Linked DNA regions of Oryzias latipes. The main gene of each other region encodes a partner of the protein of the gene in region 4 in a complex. Links are inferred from orthologs where the notes say so. Each region holds a gene or a part of one and is shown on either strand. Other genes may lie near its edges.

The links.
Region 1: the proteins of rptor (region 4) and eif4ebp1 are in contact, whole or in part, in a cryo-EM structure (PDB 6BCX), measured with the Homo sapiens proteins. The link is inferred for Oryzias latipes from reciprocal best matches to the Homo sapiens genes RPTOR and EIF4EBP1. Residues at the interface, in NP_065812.1 of Homo sapiens: Arg54, Arg305, Thr317, Asp321, Phe337, Arg338, Leu341, Ala344, Arg348, Leu437, Gln438, Leu440, Leu441, Ser442, Gln443, Arg446, Tyr475, Lys478, Leu479, Gln481; in NP_004086.1 of Homo sapiens: Glu111, Ser112, Gln113, Phe114, Glu115, Met116, Asp117, Ile118.
Region 2: rptor (region 4) and mapkap1 share a complex: the UniProt entries of both Homo sapiens proteins name them as parts of the mechanistic target of rapamycin complex. The link is inferred for Oryzias latipes from reciprocal best matches to the Homo sapiens genes RPTOR and MAPKAP1.
Region 3: rptor (region 4) and rictor share a complex: the UniProt entries of both Homo sapiens proteins name them as parts of the mechanistic target of rapamycin complex. The link is inferred for Oryzias latipes from reciprocal best matches to the Homo sapiens genes RPTOR and RICTOR.

What each region holds. Positions count from the first base shown.
Region 1 is NC_019867.2:12,547,796-12,552,026, forward strand, and holds the start of eif4ebp1 (eukaryotic translation initiation factor 4E-binding protein 1), read left to right. Parts: upstream 1-1,431; 5' UTR 1,432-1,739; coding exon 1,740-1,875; intron 1,876-3,277; coding exon 3,278-3,466; intron 3,467-3,889; coding exon 3,890-3,921; 3' UTR 3,922-4,231. UniProt on the Homo sapiens protein: Repressor of translation initiation that regulates EIF4E activity by preventing its assembly into the eIF4F complex: hypophosphorylated form competes with EIF4G1/EIF4G3 and strongly binds to EIF4E, leading to repress translation.
Region 2 is NC_019870.2:25,040,403-25,044,676, forward strand, and holds the start of mapkap1 (target of rapamycin complex 2 subunit MAPKAP1), read left to right. Parts: upstream 1-1,474; 5' UTR 1,475-1,660; intron 1,661-4,274. UniProt on the Homo sapiens protein: Component of the mechanistic target of rapamycin complex 2 (mTORC2), which transduces signals from growth factors to pathways involved in proliferation, cytoskeletal organization, lipogenesis and anabolic output.
Region 3 is NC_019867.2:18,765,701-18,769,949, forward strand, and holds the start of rictor (rapamycin-insensitive companion of mTOR), read right to left. Parts: upstream 2,801-4,249; 5' UTR 2,783-2,800; coding exon 2,734-2,782; intron 2,609-2,733; coding exon 2,561-2,608; intron 299-2,560; coding exon 201-298; intron 1-200. UniProt on the Homo sapiens protein: Component of the mechanistic target of rapamycin complex 2 (mTORC2), which transduces signals from growth factors to pathways involved in proliferation, cytoskeletal organization, lipogenesis and anabolic output.
Region 4 is NC_019859.2:4,711,558-4,715,757, reverse strand, and holds the start of rptor (regulatory-associated protein of mTOR), read left to right. Parts: upstream 1-1,400; 5' UTR 1,401-1,864; coding exon 1,865-1,881; intron 1,882-1,966; exon of another isoform or gene 1,967-2,121; coding exon of another isoform or gene 2,122-2,138; intron 2,139-4,200. UniProt on the Homo sapiens protein: Component of the mechanistic target of rapamycin complex 1 (mTORC1), an evolutionarily conserved central nutrient sensor that stimulates anabolic reactions and macromolecule biosynthesis to promote cellular biomass generation and growth.

The sequences.
Region 1 (4,231 bases), on a different chromosome or scaffold from region 4:
CGACAAGCGTCTTCCTCAAAGCAGCCTTCCCGCAATTTTCGTCTGCCCTCATACCAAATGTGAGACTGAGACTTCCAAAATGGCGACTGTTTGAATGTGCAAAGAAAGGAATCCAATGAACGCAAGCAAAGGGAGTCGTGGTCGTGAAAGAGGAAAAACTCGACAGTCCTGCACTTGAGGGCTAAGGCGATACCATGCACCAAATTCATGCAAAAATATAAACTTGCAAAAACTAGAGAATACGTGTATATTCCTTTAGAATGGTTTGGAGACATTATTGCAGTAATATTACTCTATACTAAGGAATGCAACTGCACACATGCACAGAAGATGTTTTTAAAAATGAAAAGAGTATATATATATATATATATATATATATATATATATATATATATATATATATATATATATATATATATATATATATATATATAAAATGAAATATATAAACATATATATTTATTTAGAATGCTATGCACCCTTACTTGTCAAATGGGATTCTAGTTATGTTATGGATGTACTTTTAGCATCATACAGCTGTAGCTACCAAGAGACTGTTGAGTTCTGGGTAATGCCTGCAACACTGGGACAAATAGGGGTATTGTGGGTATTTTAACTAGTTTTGCTTCCTTTTTTTATTTTCATGGAGAGTCAAAGATGGATTTAAAATGTACTTGTAAAATCCTTTTAATCCAATCAAAATACAAGGACATCTATTGACAATTTACTCTGTACACCAGCTCAACATTTACAAAATTAATAAAGAAATGAAATGTCTTTGTGTATGGTGAGTTTGCTTTTGTTTAAGGTACTCCATGACACATCAATTAAGCAATGATCTTAACATGTATGCAATGAGCTTTGTATGTTTCCACAACTGAAAATCACAAACAATTCTATCTTATCAGACTAAATAACTAACCAATTTAAACATTTTTTCCCAAAAATAATCTGCAAAACACATTCAGGTGCATAAGATTTTTAGAGGTGCACAAAACAAAATCTTCTAGGTTTCAAACTATTGGAAATGCCAAGGTATCTCCTTTTTTGTTAAGTGCAAGCACTAAAATATCATGTTTAAACTAAACTACTAACAGATTTTACGCTGCTAATCAGCCTAAATATTTATTCTAGTCTATATTTATTCTGGATTGCTGAACTCTGTATGTTGTAGGGCCATGAGGGAGAAGCACCCAGCTTGATTCACAACTTGTTTATAGAAACCAAGATGAACCTCGTACAAGTTCACAAAAATGACTAGAGTCCTAACTAATCCACACTAAATGTGCGCAATTTGCTGTAAAAGTGAATATGTTTTTTTTGTTTTTATAGATCCCTTTGGATTGAAACTACAAAATCAATTCTACATTTGATTATTTTTTTAACGCTGGTGCAGTAGCGCCAGTCACCAGTAGAGGGCGTAGACGTTTTCTGGATAGCATTTTTCCCTGCAGTCATCTGTCTGTCTACCTTGCCTGTCTGTTGTTTTGTATGCATGTGGAAGTGGAGGAGCGTGTGTCCTGAGGTTCTTTTAACAAAGATTATCGACACCTCCTGTTTGTGAGAGCGCGTGTGGTGATAATTTGCACTTATGAAAAAGAGGTATTTATTTTTATTTATCAAAGGCAGCCGTTCTTTTGAGCCAAATAACTATCTGGCTTTGCCCTGGGACGCCCAGAATTTCTTTTCGTGGCATATTATTTAGTTAGATAGTTTTAGTACAAGAGTCCTAAGAAAAGATGTCCACCGAATGCCAGAAAACAACTGCTAAGGCCATTCCGTCCACAAAGAGAGTAACCATCAACAACGCTGATCACATGCCCCACGACTACTCCACTACCCCCGGAGGGACCCTGTTCAGCACCACACCGGGTGGTATGTATAGAAATTTCAAGTCTTTTTCCAACACAAAACACGCATGTGCGAAGATTTACTCAGATTCACGCCACATGGGACCCACATCCTTTTAGATCATCGCTACTGTACAGCCAGCTGATAGCTTGCAGTTAAGCTAGCTGCTAATGCTAGCTAGCGGGTGTTTATTTTAAGCTAGTTTAAAGTAACTCAGTCGTATGCATTTTAAAAATTTGACATATTGTTACATATCTTTATTCTGCTCAAATTGTCTGCTTGTGTTTGAAGTGTTTATCTTGGGTTTCTTGCTTTCTTTTAGCTCTGGCTGTACTTGTTGCTAAAGCTGGACAGAATAGCATGTGGGCGGAGCTTAAGATGTGAAGGGATTTACGGGTCAGGGGTGGGCCTCGGCCTTAGAGGGGCAGGATTTATAAAAACACGAGCTGGAAGGGGTGGGCTTAAACATCAGACTCCGCCCTTCCAAACCTTGTACTGTTACACGTAAATGTAATAATATTTTCCACAGTTCATTGAAGGTGTAACTTTTATACAAAACCAACATGATATTCCACCAGCAACAAGCCTCTCAAAACTATTTATCTGTCATTCTTTACATATATTTATTTTTTATAATCCCACTGGCTGTTTATTATTGTCTCTGTATTGTACACTGTGTACTACATTGGTACACAGATGACCTGATCCCAATGGCGATATGATGTACACATTACATCTGAACCATTAGAGTCGGATCCTGAAATACTTAAATTAAATGTGTCCAAACCAAGATTCCAGATTTTAATGTTGATCTTAAAAGTCATATTTTAACACTTCAAAGCATTTATGTATGTACTTAAAATAATTGCTTTATTTGTTCAAAACGACGGAAGTAAATGGGTCATGTTGTGTTTTCTTTCTCGTTTGGTAAAACTACAGGGTTCACACTGTGTGGCAGCACATTGCATGCTATTTCTAAAGAACAGGGGAGCATGTGCATCAGGTTAATAATTGCTGGAAATAAGCGGTAGCTCCGTTTTTGTGTTGCTTGAGAAAGGTGTCCACCTGAGTGGGGTGGTTGAAGTAAATGGAAGTAAAATTATTTGAAATGTTATTTTTAATCATTTGCATTGATATACACACTAGTTTAATGATTTTTACTGCCTTTTTATGTGGAATTCCTTAGAGATGTGAGCCAAAAAAAAGCATTTTTCTGATAAATCAGTCTTGATCGTCTAACCTGAATACACCTGAAATTATGTTAGCTTTTTTAAACTGCTGGGTGCACTTTTGATCTAGCTTAATGATTATCAGTTGTCTTTTGTGTTCTATGTTTCACTTAACTTATTCATTCCAAAGCCATTTTTCTGGAAAAGCGGACAATTGAAAAAATGTTCTGACGCACAAAGCGTTTCTGCACAAACAGGTACTCGGATCATCTACGACCGGAAGTTCTTGCTGGAGTGTCGGAGCTCTCCTTTGGCAAAGACTCCTCCACGAGGCCTTCCCAGCATTCCAGGGGTGACCAGTCCTCCAACCAAAGAGTTCAACAAGAAGACCCTTAATGGAGAAGTAGTGAACATAGACACGCCTGCGGCTGACAGTAGCAGTGCAGGTATGTTCACAAATCATAGTCTGACCAAAGTATTTAAAAGAGTCAAATTTGGCATTTTGCTCCAGCATAGTGTTGTGTATAACATTTAATGAATCCATCCACAATAGGTAGAACATGGAGTTATTTTAGGCCAAATGCATGTAGTGGTGCAATTTCCAGTGTAATAAAGTTTCTTGTCTGCTTGTAAAAGAAAAAAAAACTTAGTCTTGCAATATAGCATACATAATTAGATGTATTCTAGTTGGGGTTTTTCTACTAAATGTAGAATTTGGTAGCTAAATGCTTAAAGAAGAATAAGCAAGTTGATGCACCTTAATCTTGAAGCAAGATTGTTTATTTTGACTGAAAACATTGTCTGTCAACGTCCTTGTTGCCTCCTGAATTTTAGAAAGTTAAAGTATAATTTTTGTGTGCTTTTTCTAGGTGACGATGCGCAGTTTGAAATGGATATATAGGTGGATCCAATGCTGTGAATGGAGTATCTGGAACGTCTCCTCTTATCCCATCATCATTTCTTTGGAGGAAAAGTGATCTCTTTTAGAATCTGGGTTAAAAATGTCTGTCTTTGATACTCATATTAATGCCTGAAGATCACAAGCCTTTTTTTTTATTCTATTCAAGGTCTAAAACCTATTTGCTGATGATAAAGTGTGCCTTCATGTAGTGGCATCAAACGGAACACAGACACCAACAATGCCTCATCAGTCAGCAGCAAGAAAGTTTAGACATAAAGAGCTCATTTTCATCAGATCAGGAGTGTTCCAG
Region 2 (4,274 bases), on a different chromosome or scaffold from region 4:
AAACATGTTGCCGCCCTGAAACCAACAGAGTGATCCTGAACTTTAGCTGAAGTGTTAATATTTACATGGTGTGTTTCCGGTTTCGTGTAGCTAAACCCAGAGCGAGGGCCCACAGCGAGATCCGCTGCTGACCGCAGATAGCTCCGCCCCCTCCCACCGACTGCTACGATGCTCTTCAGTGGACGCCTCGCAGAAAACCTTCCACTTTACAGGCTCCGATTCATTTGTTCTATGGTTTATAAGGGGGACGCAGACAAATGAGGAAAAAGAAATTCAGGAACAAAACACAGCGCAGAATAGGGATGCTTTAAAACTCATTTTACCACGTGGTTTCATCATTAAAGCGGATTGTGGAGAAAGCATTTTTGCATCCTCAAAGCAAACCATACTGTGGGGCTGAAAAGGTTCAAGCCAATGATAATTGTGTTTGGTTTTAACGTGTTCTTTTAACATTTCTCTGATGATTGAGGAAATGTATAGAGAACATTTAGCTCAAAACTGCATTTTTTTGTATTTCTTTATTCAAATTGTTGTGAATCAGGAGCAGACGAAAAAGTTCTGTTAGGTAATGTTTGCAATGTGGTTACATAAATATACTTTTATGTTTGTGTATATATATATCCAGACAAATACCAGTAGATCCAATTTTTTTACTGTAAGATTGGATAAAGGCACAGGCAGTGGGGGGCAATGCCCCCCTAAATACAGTGACTGCCCCCTAAATGTGATGGGCCACAAAAATCCACAAATAACTACAGGAATAAAAAAATAAAACAACTACAAGTCAAAAAAATGTAAGTATTTATGTATATGGAAGGACACACAGGCAAAGATACATAAAAAGAAAAAGGGTAGTGGTAGAGGGTGGTCTTCTTCAAACTGCTCCTGATTCCAAACAATTTGAATAAATAAACACTCAGAAATGCCATTTTAAGCTGAATTTTCATTATGGATGTCCTCTATCATCAGAAAAATGAGAACATGAACATGTCAAAAACATGTTCTTGTGGCAAAAAATAAGAATTTCACCAGAGTGGGTCTTTAAAGAGAGAGATGGAAATCTGTTGACAGGTTCCACAAGTGTAATGGAAAGATGGAAGAACTTTGAAGATCTCAAAAATATCCATGTAAATAGAAAAGGTTCTTGCAAATTTTTGCTGCGATAATTCTTTTTACTCATGATCGCACGATTTTGCAGCCACATTTCTATTTCATGTGATGATACTTTGAACTTGCAAAAGCATAATTTTATCTTGCTCTGGCATCTCTCTCTCTTTTTTAACTTTTCTTTATTTTTTCACTTTCTAGTGTGAAGTGCATTTGGATGTGTGCACAACATTTTGTAAACGCTGAAATACTAGTAAGGAATAAAGGTGCATATAATTCAGTGTTCCTTTACTTTCACTGCCTCGGTCAGTGAACTGCTCTTGTGCGTGTTTTTCGTTTGGTGGCTCTTTTATTGTGAAGAGATTACACCGGAAGTCAAAAGGATGTCTTCCTGGTTGCACGAGCGCAGCAGATTGCATTGGCTTTCGGTTGTTTTGAGACTTTAATGCATTGAATTGTTTTTCACGGATGTAACGACTCGTCGGCCAAATAAGTAGACTGGATGAGATGGAGGGACGTGGACTCTGCTGTGTCTCGTCAGAAAAACGTAGAGGTGGGATCTTCTTTCTGTTCATACCACTGCTATTGCTAACTGACTCGGGAGAGATAATCGTTAGCTTGAGTTTAGTCACCGCTAACCGACTGTAATGCGATCTGTAAGCTGTTCCTGTCATGTTACACGCTTATAAAGTATGAATCACTTCAGTCTGTAGATCCTCCTGCTACTTTTTGGAGCAGCTGAAATGGATTTTGTTGTAATTCAGCTGGTTTAAGTGAGCCATTTTGGTTAGGAAAACAAGGTGCTGCTAACGCAAAACATGATGATGATCTGATAAATGTACACAGAACTTTTTAATCCGATTGTTTAACTTCTACCTTCTTAAAATGATAAACTCCGACACAAATTTGTATTTACTGACATGTGGTGTTTGTTTCAGTTGTGTCGTGTGTTTTACACGAGCGTGTTTTTCCTGTGAGAACTTTCCCCAGATAAGACTGTGTCCTCAGCTGAAATGACCGTCAGACATCATTTACAGCTGTTACAGTGGGAACTGTTACGTCATCACAGTGATTTCTGTGCTCATAATCCGTTTTCTTGATGGTGAAGTGTTCTTCTCAGCTGCCCATGCGCTCAGCGCCGTCATCTGCCTGTTGTAGCTGTCAACATCCGTGTTTAGACTAAACACTGTGAACAAACTTCGTGTTTTCAGATGTGACACGACTTCTGATTCTTCAAAAAAAAAAAAGTTAGCGTTGTGCCCAAACACTAAAAAACACTGGCATTTGTCTGATGATAGAGGACATATATAAAGAAAATTAGGCTCAAAACTGTATTTCTGAGTATTTCTGTGTTCACGTAGTTGTGAATCAGGAGCAGACAAAGAAATGCTGTTAGAAAAAGCTTGTTGTAACTGAAGCTACTGCAGAAAGCCACAAGCTTCCTGCCCCTCCTCATTCTAATGCATCCACTCATGGACAACTTGTTCCATGTACATCTTTGTTTTCCCTGTCTGAGCTGGAATCTGGATCAAAACTGTATGGCTGGACAGCGCCAATATTGCTCACCATTTTTATCGCAGTGCTCATGTTAAGGCCCGTACACACCGGGACGAATATTCGCCAGGCGTTATTCGCCAGCGTTTTTCGCCACGTTTTTTGTGTTCACACCCAGGCGATTTCCACTGACGATGAGCCGAGCGAACATGCAATTTCCTTCCCTGACATTAGATGGCGCTTAATGTAAACAGAAATACTCCTGTACACAAGGTGGCGCTGCGCAACTTTACGCTTATTAAAGTCGCTTTTCACTCAGAAGAAGAGAGCAAGTATTTACGCGCTTGTCAGAATCAAACAAAGAAAACATGAATATTTCAAGCACCAGTTGCTCCAACTGGTGCTTGGTTCGGGGATATTTTAGAATGTCCGTCATTATTTCTTCGCAGCAGTGTAGACGCTACTTGGCGTCTATCTTCTTCGCTGGTATGTGTGCTCAGCAAGGCAGTTTTGTGTTTGAGCGCCCCCAAGTTGTGTTTTACTGTAACTTCAGAAGCTCCAGACATGTGTGCAAAAGCGCCATTCTCATTGGTCGAATAGATTTCGACGCGACGCGTCGAAAAAAAAAAAACGAACCCGAGGCGTTTTTTTTTTTGACGCTTTGACGCCTGGCGTTTTTTCGCGTCGGTGTGCACACTCCCATTGGTGCCCTTTGTTTAGTCACGAGGCGTTAAACGTCGGCGAAAATCGCCAGCGAAATTCGTCCCGGTGTGAACGGGCCTTTAGGTTGGCGTTGTTAGAGGCTCTAAGCTAGTTGGAGAGACTGTAAACAGATTGGTGACGGGAAGTGGTGGTGGGCTAGCTATGTGCCACTGGTCAACTCAGAGAATCTCTAATGAACTCCTGCTGCTCTGCAGAAACCATGCCATAGAAAACTACACATAAAACAGCATAAACATAAAGAAAGACTTCTGAGAATGCTTTTTGCAATAGATCAAAAGATGATAGGAGCGGGACTTCAACATCAATATTGAAAATAACCAAAAAAACATGGTTCAAATACATTTTGGCAATTGACTGTATAAGAGAACTGGACTTGCCGACCCCTCCCCCTGGTGTTCCTAACAGGAAGTACGCGCTGGCCCCAAGAAGCCAAAATCCTATAGACTTCTATATAGAAATAAACAGCTGTTAATCAGTCATTCTGTTGGTCAGAATAACCATTCTTGCTCCGATACCTTTTTTGAACATGTTCTTGATAATCCTATTTTTTCTAATAATATTTTTTCTTTAGTACAAGCTAATCATGTTATAAACTGACCAATCATGGGTCTCAATAAAAGCGTGTGGCCTCATGTTCAAAGATTGATTAACAGATTTTGTGCAGTCCGCTTTAAGTGGTAGGGGTGTGGCCTTTCAACAAGCTCTCTCTGGATTTGTGAGAGTGGTTGCCATAACAATGTTGACTCTGATTGTCTTAGACCAATCACTCCTTGCTAACATTGTCTGACTCCCAACCTGGCGACGTCCACATTGCAAAAAATGGTGACTGAAGTTACTTCAATTGGTTGGAACCAGAAGTAAGCCAATTTTCTGTGAGTGACGTCACACTTACTCTGTCCAGTTCTCATATTCAGTCAATGAGTTGGATTGACCCACGCATTTCATAGTTC
Region 3 (4,249 bases), on a different chromosome or scaffold from region 4:
TATTCTAGTTGAATAGAAGCTTATGATGCATTTCTATCCCCAGAGCTTTTTTTTTTTTTTAATCTAAACTGTGGTATAAACCTCAGCAGGTCAGCAGCTACATTTCAGAGGAAGAGTAGTTGATCAGTCATTCAATATATCTACAGTCATCTTCCTTAAAAAGCTGCATGTGGAGCAAAAAAATGCTGCAGCATTCTTACCTTTATGAAGTTGTTCAGGTGGCCCAGTTTTCGCATGTTGCTAACTCCGTGTGGTTTAGCCACATTTTGAAGAATTTCCCGGAAGTTTTCTGATGGTTCTAGAGGGAAACAAAAAGACCATTTCAGTGGACAAAATAGCTCTGTGGTTACAGGAGAAAAGGAAAGGGCTATCAATTAGTTTACTAGTTTTACGTTTATGCAGTCAAAACTAGACCTTTATAGCAAAAAGCAAAGTCGAGCAAGTTAGACTTTGCTTTCCAACAATTCATCTAATGTTAATTATTTGATAAAATATTAAAACACTTGCGAGGTTATTTCATATGTAGACATCTAATATCTGTAGAAACTAATGTCAGATATACCAATCAATGAAGAAATCCATTTCACAAACACGTAAATAGACCATCCTAATCCCAGATTATGTTTTAAATTGTCTTATATTATCTCTCCATAAAAAAAACTGATATTTTAACAAGATTTAGAACTTCAAATACAAAGGGGGAAAAATCCGTACAGCTACAAAACAAAACAATAGAATACCACGAAAATGGTTTAACTGAGGTTGACATTTAAGAAGATTTCCTATATGATGCTAAGATAAAAGTATCAAAAGCAAAAAGGCAAACAAGCACTGGTGTATAAATATACCTTAAACTTTAGCTTCTTATCCGTGAAGCAAAAATCGATCAATCGTTTAAGAAACAGTGGTGTTATTGCATTATAAACGTTCCTGGGGGGTAATCCAGGAAGCATGTTTAAACTACCCTGACTTTAACCCTGAACTCTGGCTGAAATCTCAAATTTACATATTTTTCTAACTAAATGTCATATTACTCCAATTCAATTAAATGTCTTTCCATCTTAATTTATTGTATTTCTTGAACTCTCATATGTCTACATTTGAGCCTGTAGATATTCTCATTTTTATAACATTAAAATGAATGAAACAATATAGATTCACAACACAAAACTTAAAGTCATTTATCCTTTCTCTGACTTTGACATTACAACACTGAGCAGTAGGGGTGCTAAATAACCTCATCATTCTCTCCCTCCCTCTCACTCATGGTGCAGAAAGAATTAAACACAACAGGACAAATAACTCGGAAATACACAGTAAAACAGATAAACAACTAAACACATTTGGTCAAAAACCCACACTTAAACCCAAATCCGTCCAGACAGGCAAAGGGAATGGTATCCCACAATTCCTTGCAGCGCCGATCTAACAGCAGCACCAAAGTTACACCTACTTAATTGAATTAATTTGAATTAAAGTAAAATAACTGTCTGATAACTTAGTGTTCTTTTTAAGCTCATGTAACAAAAAGAATGTATCTTAACTGAAGCAAATAATTAAGTTAGATTAATGTAAAAAAGTTCATCTTTCCAACATCCATACGTGGTCTTATCACCCTCTCATGGTGGAAAAAGTATTATCTGAGCTTCTTCATCCACTAAATCATCTTCAAATGGACACTGCATGCTCCTTCACCTCTCTGAAACCAACTAACCTTCAACTAAACCTGCTCCAGACCAGGTTATGTTCAGAGCATGAGTTGCTATAGCAACTTCACATACCCTGAAACATACCACTGTTTTTGGAACCAAAAGCTGAGGCTATCCGCTTCCTTAGCCTCAAACTTATCGTGGTAAATAGCATAACCTACTTTCTGGAATACCCCCCATCAATGGTTGAGTTTGTTCCAGTAAGATACGTTTTATATAAAAACCTAAGCTGACAAAAAACACAAACTATGTTCGTAATCGTTTTCCTAATTTAGGACCGAAATGTTTCCATCAGAACTCGTTGATCGTGCTTTTATCGTGAGTCAAGTGTGCCTAGCAGCCGCAAAAGGTTCCAAACAAAGAAAACAGCCGCTGGTTGGTGTAAACAAACAAGCAGACAGTGCTGTTGCTAGATGAGCAAATTTAACTCGGCTGAGCTGTGAATAAAAAAAAAAAAGCCCGTATGTGCATTGCTCAGCAAACCGGCTTAAGCTCAGGGTTTCTGACAGCCAGCGGAGCCTCGTGTATTAATGCAACTCTAATGGCTGTCTCGCTAAATAGCAGGCTCTGCAGCCCACTCACGCCTACCAAAACAACAGCGCATCGTCATGACTGGTTAGCTGTGGCAGCCAGCTAACGCTAAATCAGCTAGCTAGTTAGCTCCCTCTCGCCTGTTTATAGCCACAAAGGAAGATTTTTGAACAAAACAACAACAAATAAAACGTTTAATTAAAAATGCATCCACGTGGCAATCTCGTGGTTCATTTAGAGGTTCGTATATTTTGTGCATAAAGTCAACCATAATCCATTTTGAGCAATAATAGCTTTTAGAATGATGAGCCTCTGCTTACCTCTACTCAGATCCAGCGGTACGTTCTCCTCCCCGCTGTCATTCCGCCCTGACAAAAACAAACGCAACGGAAACGCTGAAGGACAAATTCAATGCTATGTTTTGTGGGAGACGTGCTCTTATTGCAATACGCTGCCATTCCAACAAATTATGAGCTGAGTTTTTCACGCTTACCTCGCATCCGAAGACTCCGGATAGGACGGCCGCGGAAGCTGGCCGCCATGTTTCCAGGAACATACACAACACCGGAAACTTCGCGGAATGTCGCGAGAACACGGACATCAAACGCAAATCGCTGCGGTGCAAATCACAGATCTGGGATCAGGCGAATCCCAGTTAATCCCTTAACCTCCAACGGCAATGAAAAAATAATCTGACCTGGCGACTGAACGACAGAAATAAACAGTTTAGTTAGCAGCAGTATTCGAGTTTTAATTGCAAATGTAATATTTATTTATTAATATTTTTCAGCATGACCAATTTGCTAAATTTGTTTTTATAAAAACAAATCTTAGTTTTTTTGTTTGAGTTTGTGTCATGGTTCATGTTTTCATGTATGATTGGGATTTAGTGACAGGAATAATTTGTGCAAAATGTTTTGTAATATGGTTTAAACGTATGTTTTTATCCTAACTTTAGGGAAATATTTAAGTTGAAAACAAAAAATAATATGTTCTAACTTGATTTAAGGCAAGTTGTGTTATGTTAAAGTTATTGTTACAAATAGGAAATATTCAAAGAATAAATAACAATAATAAGTACAACACAAGTAGTGCACATAATGGACCTGCTTAGAGGATTTGGACATCACTGCAGCTCCTTTTTCTGCACACATATCAGCAAAAACATAATTCTTTCATCTTCTCAGAGACTATTTTTGTTCAAACCCAAAGGGATTTTTGTTGCATTAGCCTGCTTAAATGATTTTGCAATTACAGAAAGACCTTGACCTACTTTTTCATTCCAACCTCATGAGTCTTGATCATGAGTCTTGATGTCTGTCGCTGTATAGTTTATGACAGCTGGTCCCACAGAGCTTGTTACTTGAGTTCATAGAAGTGTACTCTAAACGATGAACAATACATGAATTATTTTTAGCTTCTCTCTTGAGTAAAAAACGTGTTTGTTTTTACTAACGTTGTGATACCAAAGACTTCTTTCATGCAAAAAATTCAAGACGTGTAAATTACAGAATAACTGGTTCATTAAAAAACAGAGGTACCAAAAGTAAAAGACGAATGTTTCAACATTTTCAGTTGTTATATTATCATTTTTTTTTAAAAGCTGCAAGAAAACTCAGGTTGCTATGACCACATTAACCACTAGATGGCGCTAATGCTTTACGAACACAAACCAAGACAGAAAAAAGATGGCCACTTAACCGGATAATGATAAATCATGTTATAAAATGGTTACGGTAGAACAGGGGTGGGTTTATATAAGTTCGCTTCCTTCCACTCCCTTTCAAGCAATATTTATTTATATGATTAATTATCCAAAGTTTGATTAGTTGTGGTACGAATCTATAACTGATGATTGTATTGTTTTTATGTATTATTCCTATTTGATTGCTTGAAATGAACCATTTCAATTCAATTCAACTTTGGAAATGTGTTGAAAAATCACTAATCCTTCCTCTTGAATGTTTATCACAAAACCTATTTATATTATGTTCACAGATATGTCTTCA
Region 4 (4,200 bases):
AAATGACAGGAAAAGGTTTCACCACACAACAGAATTGTTTCAGAAGTTGGGTTTTTCTTTCTTCTTCATTATGTAATAAAATAGAGGATTTTGTTTGGTTCACTCTATATCCAGAGACATCTCCATATTTTCTGATTATTTCCATTAAAGAACGAATTGACTTTTTTATTTGAGAGAGAAACACAATCACATCATCTGCATATACTGTAAAGCTATTTTGTGTTCTACTGGACCCACTCCGATTCTATGTAGCCCTGTATGGGAGTGTATTGCTATTGGTAGTGGTTCGATTGCATTGTAAATAGCATAGGTGATAATGGACACCTTTGCCTGCAGCCTTTTGTTATGTTTATTGACTGTGAAGTGTTCCTGTTTGTCAAGATTTTTGCCATGGCATTTTTGTAAATGATCTGGACCCACATTTTTAAGTTGGTTCCACATCCACATTTGTCCATGACCTTAAAGAGAAAAGGCCAATGGACCTTGTCAAAGGCCTTTTGAGCATCCAGTGCTCGTAAACCTGTTTATGCTTTATTTGTGCTATAATGAATAATATTTCAAACTCTTCTCACATTGTGAAATCCTTGCCTTGCAGATATAAATCCATTTTGGTCTCTATCAATAATGCTTGGCAATGTATTCTGTAGTTGTGTTGATAAGACTTTACAGATTATTTCAAGGTCAGGTTATTGGTCTAAAATTTTCACATTTGTTTGAAGGTTTTCCAGGTTTTTCTTCCATGATTTTTGATCTTCACTGGTGTAAACAGATTCATGAAATCCTCTTCACCTTTATCCACCTCTGTCATGGTAGGAATAACACGCCAATGTAAGGGTGGGGTCATCTGGACCCCACAAGATACCACAAGAGTTATTGATACAAATTAGTATCTTCATACTGATTGTAAGTTTAATGCTGTTCACTGCAAACATTCGTTGCTTGATAAAATTTTGCCTGTTAAAATCTTCAACAGTGCTTATTAGTTATTGTGTGCTGAACTTTTTAAATTTTATTACTAAGCCTCACAAAGTTAACAAAATGTTTAATTTACGCAACAACAAAAAAAAAAAAAATCAACATTTAGGGGGAGGGGGGGGGCTGGCTTTGTGACGTTCAACTTTTAAAATGTGTTTATGAATGGCTACATATTTTAATAAAACAAATTCAATATTTTATTTGTTAGCCTTTTTTCTTACCCCATAATAATTGGACGGCAATCCAAAACCGGAAGTTTACACGATGGTAAAAAATATTACTTTTTTTTTATAATTATTGTTGTTAATTGTTTTTCCTTTTTAAAACGTTATTTAGAATAGTACTTTTCTTTACTAAAGATAATTGAACAGTGGTCCAGTTATTTATTTTATTTTTAGCGTCACAGGAAAAGCAACGGTGGCGTTTAACGGTGCATTCTGGGTCCTACCCAAGATGGCTGCGCCCTTGCCGTAGTGCTGAAGCAGTGCCTCTCCGGAGAAGTTTTTAGGATTTTTTGTGATTTCTGACAGAATTATCGCGCCGAATCGGCTCGCATGGTCGCTGGCTTGTAGAGGAACAAGGCAGGACCACCGTCATCTATAAGTTTTGCTGGTGCTTAGCGTGGCTGTGGCAGACTGTCCGTGTGAAGATGGGCCTCGTCTCCAACCCCTTCCCATAGCGAAGAGCCGCGGGGAGAGGAGCCGAACATTCCCCTGCAAGCACACCCCCGTCCAGCTCGCCTTCGACGGGTTCGACCTCCTGTATCGGCTGTGGACGCTGCCCTACAACTTCCTCGCGAGGATTATTTGCGCGACCTTCTCTGTCATCGCCCGGAGAAGACGGAGAGCTTCCCCTGTCCGGGCTGATAATCCCGCCGCACCGACTCGGTATGCAGCTGCTCGCTGGGTCTGTACACCCCTTCCGTCTCGGTGTTCTGCGGGGTTCGCAGTGGATACGTTTAAGTTAGCGCTCAGAAAGCCGTGGGAGGCTGTAGGAGAAGTGACGGCGACTGGACACGGGCTGACTGAAGCGCGCGAGGACAGATAGCATTAAGCTAACTGGACCCTCCAGCTCCCGTTTGCTCCGTCAGCCTTGGGGCAGAGTTCTTCACAGCTGAGCAGCAGGCGTGTTCCCACCTAACCTGTTATGAAGACGTCATCCAGGTGTAAATCCCCCTGAGATCATACCCCTTTTTTGAACTAATGTCAAATACCTCGATGTTTATTTACTGTTAGCATGTGACGTTGTTTGTATTGTAAGAAGGGGATTTCACAGCAGAGCTTTAAACCTGACTTATAAGAACTACAGGAACTGCCTCAATGAAAGCGATGTCACTTCAGCAGAAAACGGGACTTCAGAGGCTTTCCTTCAGCCTGTAACGTCAGTGAAATCAGTTTCTGAAAGTTACTTGTTTCAGTTGGAACGGTAGTTTGGTTTTTGTGAATGAGAGAGCCAAATGAACACACATTCTGCCCTCAGAGGTTCCTGCAGAGGCAGGGAGAGGAACCAAAAGTTGAATGGACAACAGTAGATGTTTGCTGACATGCTCCTACCAGTGTTGGTCTGTGGATAAAACACCGTATCTCTCAAGCATAGAATAACTATTCATTCCTAACAGTCGCTTTGCTCTGTCTGTCATTTTAAAATTAATTGCACGTTCTTCATTTGTCTCAGAGATTTCAAAATATTTGTTGCAGGTTTCAGTGATGTTTGATTTATTTGTGGTCCATAATCCCCCTTAAAGTCCAACTGCAATCATCTTGTGATCTATTTTAAAAGTATTCCCAGTGGTCTTTTTAGTTATAATTATGCCATACTTAGCCAAAAAAACAAAAAAAAAACAGTGTTGTTTTCTAGGATGTAGTTTCTGCAGAGCAGCAGGAGTTCATTACAAATTCGCCTCTGAGTTGGAAGCGGGACTGTTGGCACAGAGCAACCCCCACCCCCTTTCCCATCATAACTGAGAGTTATCAGTTTACACGATGTCCTGCTAGCCTCACACCCCCAACCTGACATTACAGGTGCGACAAAAATGGCGAGCAATATTGAAGCCATCCAGCTGTACAGTTTGGAGCCAGATTCCAGCTCAGACGAGGAAAACTGAGCATGTACATTGACGTGATATTTTTCAAACTGCTTTTTTTTCAGTTGCTTCTGATTCACAACAATTTGAAATACTGAAAAAAATGACATTTTAAGCTGAATTTTCAATAGAAATGTTCTCCATCATTAGAAAATGCCACAAGATCATGGGATTCGGTCTTTAAAGAGTTGTGTTGTAGCTTTTTTGTTTGTGTTGTACGTCAGACTTTATAGAAACATGGTAAGTGTCTTAAAGTAAAAGATAAAAAAAAAGCCATAGAAAATGCAAATTGGGAAAAACCAAGATATCTGTTCAGAAATGAAGCATTTACAAACTTCAGGACTCTCCAAACCCAGTCCTGCTTCTTTTCCAGTCCCTCTTTTCTGTTGTTTCAAAAATGTTGGAGCATCTTGGGAGGCGATAACTGAGGAGGTTGATTATGAAGACCAACTGTTTTGCTGTAAAACAACCACAAAGACTTAGTTTTGTGTTTTTGTCACCTGGCAGGGATGATGAGTGGAAGTCACTATGGCTGGGTACCGCTGCCAAAACAAGGAATTTAATACAATTTTAAGTTCACAACTCTATTCAATTTCCAATTCAACACATTTTGATTTATTATTTATCATTTAAATAATCATTTTATCTTTAAATATGAAAAGGTGTTTTCACATAACTAGTGATTTGAGCTGAGGAAAAGTGGATTTTTTTATTAATGAGATTGTAACTTATTACGTTAAAAACAAAATGTTTTTAGCTTTATTTTGAGTAACAGTTTTCTTATAACTGAAGGTTAGCACTAACTCAAAATCCGTGTTAGTAAAATAACTACCAGACTGTCTACTAACGTTTTGGTGAAATAAAAAAAGAACTGAAAGTGGGTTTAGGGTTTTTTGAAAAAAACAAAATGCAATGAGGAAGAAGCATGGAAGTTTCACATGGTGTTAAAAATAACAAGCTTTTATCTGTTCATTGGTGAGTCCTTGGTGTCATGATGTCATGACTTACAGAATAGTTTGGATTTTCCACATTATGTTGTCTTAAATAAAAAAATCTAAAGAGGTCCCTGTACGGAACCCTGGGGTACGCCTATTGAGATGAAGTATTATATTCTATAAAACCTTAGTGTTTCTAGTCAATTA